Linked DNA regions of Macaca mulatta. The protein of the gene in region 2 binds, or shares a complex with, the protein of the main gene of each other region. Links are inferred from orthologs where the notes say so. Each region holds a gene or a part of one and is shown on either strand. Other genes may lie near its edges. The genes, in order: POLR1H and UBTF.

The links.
Region 1: UBTF (region 2) and POLR1H share a complex: the UniProt entries of both Homo sapiens proteins name them as parts of the pol I pre-initiation complex. The link is inferred for Macaca mulatta from reciprocal best matches to the Homo sapiens genes UBTF and POLR1H.

Annotation. Positions count from the first base shown.
Region 1 is NC_133409.1:152,983,276-152,987,645, reverse strand, and holds the start of POLR1H (DNA-directed RNA polymerase I subunit RPA12), read left to right. Parts: upstream 1-1,305; coding exon 1,306-1,450; intron 1,451-1,696; coding exon 1,697-1,797; intron 1,798-2,004; coding exon 2,005-2,114; intron 2,115-4,370. UniProt on the Homo sapiens protein: Core component of RNA polymerase I (Pol I), a DNA-dependent RNA polymerase which synthesizes ribosomal RNA precursors using the four ribonucleoside triphosphates as substrates. Can mediate Pol I proofreading of the nascent RNA transcript.
Region 2 is NC_133421.1:68,578,950-68,581,814, forward strand, and holds the end of UBTF (nucleolar transcription factor 1), read right to left. Parts: intron 2,148-2,865; exon of another isoform or gene 1,917-2,147; coding exon 1,869-1,916; coding exon of another isoform or gene 1,819-1,868; intron 1,774-1,818; coding exon 1,702-1,773; intron 1,678-1,701; exon of another isoform or gene 1,638-1,677; coding exon of another isoform or gene 1,601-1,637; coding exon 1,457-1,600; intron 1,369-1,456; coding exon 1,243-1,368; 3' UTR 590-1,242; downstream 1-589. UniProt on the Homo sapiens protein: Recognizes the ribosomal RNA gene promoter and activates transcription mediated by RNA polymerase I (Pol I) through cooperative interactions with the transcription factor SL1/TIF-IB complex.

The DNA.
Region 1 (4,370 bases), on a different chromosome or scaffold from region 2:
ATAGTGATGGCTCCAGAACTTTCATATGAAGGAACTTAGCACAGCTATCAGAGTAGGTGGTGGTGGGAGGACTAGCAGGAAACTAGTAAACAACGACAAGCTGCCCCTTCAGGGAAAGTTTCTACTTCGAATATAAGTTACAGAGTAACGAAAATAGCAAGATTTCCGAAAGAAACTTATTCCCATGTTTTATAAAAGATCAGGGAAATGTCAGCTGTCCACTTAATGGATGACGAATAATGAATTAAGAGTTCGATAAGCGGCAGGCACAACTAAAAGCCAAACTCGACCTAAGTCTTATGAAATCCTACTTAATGAGCTTCTTGACTACTGCTAGCCTCACTTATCTGGCAGGAGTCGAAGGAGGGGAAGCCCCAAGCTCTTCTGTTCTACCACCTCCAAAGTCCTGAGCCCCTTCTCAAGTGTCCCACTTCATCCCTGCTTCCTTTCGTCCCGTGGGACTAAGGATTCCTCTGGCCTTCACCCTCACCACTTGCTGTCCCTCAAGAAGCCGACTCACCCCTTTCCAAGCGCGGTGAACCGTCCGCAAAGCACACAGGCCGGCTGCGCTCTGCAGAAAGCCCACGCTCGCCAGCGGGACCCAAGGAACGCTAGAACTATACATGCCAGAACACTTAGCTTTGTTTTTAACTACTGTGCAGCCGCAAAAGGGAAATACCAGCTCAGGACCCAGGGGAGTTGTAGTTCTCTAATCCAAAGAAGTCATTATTCAGCAAAGTACGGTTTTCAGGAGGATATTCCCCCGCGATTGGGTTCCCGTAGGATGTGAAACAGAGAATAAATATCCCAGGATTCGGTGCTGGTGGGAAAATTTGCTGGAAGCGCAGCATTGGTTACCAATTTTGTGCTCAACGTCTCAGTACCAGCCTGAAAGTTGAGCCCCAACCTCCCTTAGAAGTGGTGACTCTCCATCTCTAAGGCTTCCGAGACACGGTACGCAATTAATTATGACGTCACAGCCAATCGTCAGCGTGAAAGCGTGACGCTCTAGCCGGCTCTAGCTCGCTGCCCCGCCGCGGGCGCAGAGCTGGCGCTCTAGCCCACGGAGTTGGCCAGCTCCTCTCGCCGGCCCCAGGAAAGGGTTCCAAGTCCTTTTAGTACCCGACGCTGTCTGGGAGTTCCGGGCGTTTCGGCTCCTTGGTCGCAGAGGCAGGAGGCGTGCGTGGGAGGAGGACTCGGGTTATATACTCCTACGTCCTGGGACGGAATAGTTACCACCTCTGGGGCAGGAACTCTTCTCTCTTTTGTTAATAAACTTCTAACTCCCTCCTCAGACCCGACTGCATGTCTGTCATGGACCTCGCCGGTACTTGCTCCAGCTTTCAGTCGGACTTGGATTTCTGTTCAGATTGCGGCTCGGTCCTGCCTCTGCCCGGGGCTCAGGATACGGTCACCTGTACTCGCTGTGGCTTCAACATCAACGTTCGGGGTGAGAGGCTTGTACACAGGGGTCCTGGCGGAGGGCCCAGGATCGGAAGCTTGGGGAACTCAAGATCGGTTGGGTTGAGAAGGGGATCCTAGAGCAGGACATCAGGCAGTTGTACATTTGGTTCAGCGATGAAAACTGAGGGAAAGGATATAGGGCCTCCTGGCCTAACCAGCCAGGGGAGAGGGGAAGTTTCCGGTGTCAGCTCCCTCAGGTTGTCTCCATAACCCGTCTTACTTGCCTGTGCAGACTTTGAGGGGAAGGTTGTGAAGACTTCAGTTGTGTTCCACCAACTGGGGACAGCCATGCCTATGTCGGTGGAGGAAGGGCCTGAGTGCCAGGGACCTGTGGTAAGTTAATGAGATCAAGAACTGGCTCCATAAGGTGGGTAGGAAAGAAATGGAGGAGTGATTGCAGAGATCTGGAGAGTTTTGTGCCCAATTCCAAGTGGGAAAAGATGTAAAGCATCGATGTTTGAGAGGCGTGATCGCCTGATTCCTGTGGGAAGTAAGGGTATGATATGACCTGGCCTCCATAACCCACCAGTTTCTTCCCAGGTTGACAGGCGCTGCCCTCGATGTGGTCATGAAGGAATGGCATACCACACCAGACAGATGCGTTCAGCCGATGAAGGGCAAACTGTCTTCTACACCTGTACCAACTGCAAGTGGGTATCCTTTCCCCTCCCTTTGCTCAGTCTGTTTGCTAACTAATAAACAAATCCAGTGATTTATTTTTTTGTACTAAACGGCTGTGTCCTTTCGTCCCATCCCTTATTTCTGTGCAGTTCTGGTAAGAGGGAGATTTGTAGTTTTTATTTTTTTAAATTACACTTTTTTAACCCTTTTTGTAACCAGTGAAATAAACCTTTTAGGTTTTTTTTTTTTTTTACGGACAGGGTGTTGCTCTGTCACCTAGCCTGGAGTGCAGTGAGGCAATCTTGGCTCACTGCAACCTCCGCCTCCTGGGCTCAGGTAATCCTCCCACCTCAGCCTCCAAAATAGCTTTGGGACCACAGGCACGTGCCACCACACCTGGCTTTTTGTTTTGTTTTGTTTTTTGTATTTTTAGTAGAGATAGGGTTTCTCTCTGTTTCCCAGGCTGGTCTTGAACTCCTGAGCTCAATCAACCCACCTCAGCATCCCAAAGTGCTGGGGATTACAGGCATGAGCCACCCTGCCTGACCTTCTTTTAGGATATTTAAAAGGAAATGAATAAAAAAAACCAGAAGAAGCAAGTATTGTTTAGTGGTCAGCGTCTTATACTGCAGTCTTCAACCGCAGTCAAGGTAGCTTTACTTTGGAGAGAATTAGTCACACATGATTTAGAGAACATGGGCTTTCTGAATGCTTTTAAGACCTCATCTTTGTCTTTGGTGTTCTGCAGTCACTATAGTATATCAAAATGTGATTTTCTTTTATTCTGTTTGGGATTTGTTGGACTTTCTGAAACTGAGAGTGCATTGTTGTTTTTTGTTTTTTTTTTTGAAACGGAGTCTCGCTCTGTCTCCCAGGCTGGAGTGCAGTGGTGTGTTCTCCGCTCACTGCAAGCTCCGCCTCCCGGGTTCATGCCATTCTCCTGCCTCAGCCTCCTGAATAGCTGGGACTACAGGTGCCCGCCACCACGCCCGGCTAATTTTTTGTGTTTTTTAGTAGAGACAAGATTTCACTGTGTTAGCCAGGATGATCTCGATCTCCTGACCTTGTGATCCACCCGCCTCGGCCTCCCCAAGTGCTGGGATTACAGGTGTGAGCCACTGCGCCTGGCCTAGAGTGGATTTTTTTTTTCATCAACCTTGGAAAATTATCAGCCATCATCTCTTTTAATATTCTCTTTCCCCCATGTTCTCAGTCCTCACATTCTGGACCTCTAATTAGTTACTAGAATGAGATTTCTCTCTTCTGTCCTCCATTTCTCTCGCCTTCTTTTCATATTTTCAATCGCTTTTCTCTTTATGCCACCTTCTGAGTAATTTCTTCAGGTTCCTCTTCCATGTCACTAATTCTGTCTTCAGTTTATTTCAAGTATTATTATTTTTTACTATTGTTATTATTTTGAGTTCTATTTAATTACTTTTCAAATCTCAATTTTTAAATAATTCTCAGTTCCTTAATAATATTTTAAATTGTTCCTTTTACTAGTCTTTATATATTTAAAATATTAAATGTGGTTATTATATTCTATGTCTCATAATTCTGATATCCGTGGATTTTGTGTGTCTGATGCTGCTGTCTGTTTCTGCTGTCTCTCTCATAGTGCTTTTTTCTTTGTTTTGTAATTTTTGACAATAAATTTGAGTTTTTTAGAACTTGAACTGTAGGAATTCTCTGAGGCCTTGGGTAAGTGTTGTATTCTCAGCATTTGTGTTTCTTTTCTAGGTGCCTTGAAGCACTATCAAGCTGGAATTACTTTAAATAAATTCTTGGCTTCATGTTTTTTGGAGCAGACAGATAGTATGAATTTGAGCTGCAAATCCATGTAAGGGCTAGCTTATGGCTAGAAATTCTCAGGAAAGAGTTTTCTCTCTTTCTACCTACTGAGACAGTCAAATTCCCCTTCTATAGAGTTGAATTTCTTTCTTTTCTTGTTCACTTTTACAAAAAAGGGCAGGCTTTTGCAGTTCCCAAATTTATGCACAGGATCTCCTATCAACCTTGCACATTTTGTCCCTCATTTCCTATGCTTCCAGTGACTGTTGCAACAGTATAAAGGGCACCAGAGTGTCACTGTCACATTTCATAGGGACATCAGTTTTAACTTCACTGTCTGGATTTCTGGTTTTACAGAACTTTTAACCAGTATGAAGATTGCCTTTACTTTCTTGCCATCTCATCAAAAGATTAAAAATATTCATAGTCAGATATATCTTTTAAAAGTATTTTTTCTATCACTGATTGTCATTTTACCAAAAAAAAAAAAAATT
Region 2 (2,865 bases):
TTAAGGAAAGCTGAAGGGATGTGTAAGATAGGAGCTCCCAGCACATTTCTTGAAGCCCAGGTTCTGAGCCTAGGGTGGCCAGGCTTGGCCCCTCAGATGAGCAGGGGAGGCCTTTTCCACCAAATACAAGCTTTAAGCTTCACACCATCTTGCCTGTCTTTCCGGAAGCCTTCCTGCTGGACAATGGAGACCAGCAGCTCGGATGCATGTGACCCTGGCAGAGGGAGCCTGGTCTGGGAAGCATCCTAGAGTGGCTTCGGCACACTCCCCCAGTGGAATCAGAGACTGGGCAAAACAGAGGATGTGGAGAATGGGATAGCCTCAGTCCGCTCCCACCAGGGTCAACATCTCCCGGCTCTCACCGACCCTTTTTCCAGATTCACAACAAACTGATGTGGGCTCTAGGACAGACCCCCTTACACACACACACACTCTCTTTTGCACACATCCACAGCTGCACCCATGCTATGTACAGGAACACACATACACATACTCTCTTCCACACACATCAAGACCATTTTTAAAAGGTTCCAAACCTACCCCTAAACCCTCCCTCTCCCAGAAATGACAACAGAGACGGCAGCCGAGATCGGTAGGAAACGTCTCGTTGACAGCTCAGAGCTTAAAAAAAAATATATACACATATATAAAAAACACTTCTGCCCCCTCCCCCATGAATGGGTCCAGGCAGCTCCTTCCTGCAGGGGGCAGGGGAGAGGGCCACCAGGGCAGCGCCTGTTTTCTCGAAGGCACCAGCCCTCCTCTCCCCACATTCCCTGCCTCCAGTTCCAATGCAGGGGTCCAGGTGGCAGGCCCCTCTGGGAAGGAATGCGTCTTCCCCAAGCTTCCACCCCACCTTGGATTGGGCCGCAGGTGTGGAGGGCCTCGTTGAACTCTTTGGGACCCCCCCCACCCCCACTCTCCGGTACACTGTCCATGCCGGAACTGCAAGTGCAGAGAAGTCACAGGGGTGGGCCAGGCTGGTCCGGTGCTGGCTTAGTCTGATGGTTGCTGTCCCTGGAGGAGGACCCCCAAGGGCTGATGTCTCTGAGGCTGCAGAGTCCTGGCCTGGGCTCCTCCAGCCCCCTACCCCCACCGTATTTTTTTTTTTTTTAAAAAGAAAGAAAGAAAGTGGGGGATGCCAGGGGGGCAGGGGACAGAACATGGGGGAGAAACAAAGGTGGTCAGTTGGGGAGGGGAGCTCCTGGGCTCTCCCTGGCTGCCCTGGGGTGGGGCTGAGCCTCAGTTGGAGTCAGAGTCTGAGGAGTCCCCTGAGGAGGAGGAGCTGGAGCTGCTGCCCTCGGACTCGTTGTCTTCATCCTCATCGTCATCCTCGTCATCATCTTCGTCCTCATCATCCTCTTCATTCTGGGGGGTGAGAAAGGATGTGGAGAGTCATCAGGTGACCATCCTGGCAGGAATCCCCTCCCCTCCCACTGTGCCCTGTCTGCCCCACCTCATCCCCATCCTCGCTCTCGTCTTCGCTGCTGGACTCGGAGGAGTCGCCGCCATCTTCAGAGGAGTCCCCATTCTCATCATCTTCCTCTTCTTCATCCTCATCCTCATCATCCTCATCCTCTTCATCATCCTCCTCGGACTCCTTGGAGGGACAGAGGCACATCAGTGGTCTCTGGTCTCTGCCCAGCCATTCCAGGCAGTCCCACCCGCCCCATGCCCCTGCATCTGGCAGGGGCTCCTTACCGACTTGGACTGCAGAGTAGTCCGGCTGGATTTGGGGTTTGGGCCTCGCAGCTTGGTCATGCTCTTACGTTTCTGCAGGATGGGGACACGAAGGTGGCAGCCGTGAGTTCCAGACACCCCTGAATCCCCCCACCCCTACCCCACTGCTGCTCTGCTCCCAGACTCACGTTGGAGATGTACTCTTTATATGCTGCACGGTCCTGGGGAGACAGGCTCTGGGGGAGACAGAGGTGGCAAGGGTTGGAATATAGCCAACTACTGCTGACTGAGCATGCTGGCCCAGTGCTAGGCAGTGGGCTGAGCATTTATATATCATCACCCCATCTTATCCCTCCCAGGCTCCCTAGATTTTAGGTCTCTGCAGAGAGCCCCTGTGATCTGAGAACACAGCTCCAATTTTTTTTTTTTTTTTTGAGACGGAGTCTCGCTCTGTCACCCAGCCCAGGCTGGAGTGCAGTGGCGCGATCTCGGCTCACTGCAAGCTCCGCCTCCTGGGTTCACGCCATTCTCCTGCCTCAGCCTCCCGAGTAGCTGGGACTACAGGCGCCCACAACCGCGCCCGGCTAATTTTTTGTATTTTTAGTAGAGACGGGGTTTCACCGTGGTCTCGATCTCCTGACCTTGTGATCCGCCCGCCTCGGCCTCCCAAAGTGCTGGGATTACAGGCGTGAGCCACCGCGCCCGGCCTCCAATTTTTTTTTGAAACAGGGTCTTGCTCTGTGTCCTGTGTCACCCAGGCTGGAGTGCAGTGGCACAATCTCAGCTCACGACTTGGCCTTCTCAGGCTCAAGTGAGCCTTCCAACTCAGCCTCCAGAGTAGCTGGGACTACAGGTGTGTGCCACCACACCATGCTACCTTATAATCATTTTTGTAGAGACAGCAGTCTCACTATGTTGCCCAGGATGGTCTTGAACTCCTGGCCTCAAGTGATCCTTCATACCTTGGGCTCCCAAAGTGCTAGGATTACAGGCGTGAGCCACTGCACTGGCCCAAGCTCTAGTATTTCTGCTTCTGATGCCCAGAGTCCTTCTATAAACCACTAAGACTGTTGGTTTTCACATTCACCCTATTGCTCTACACAAATGGAAGCTCCTATCAGAGTCTTCCTCACTCTTCCTCACTCCAAAGAAGTGCCCCTGTGATGAGTCAGCCTGGCATCATCA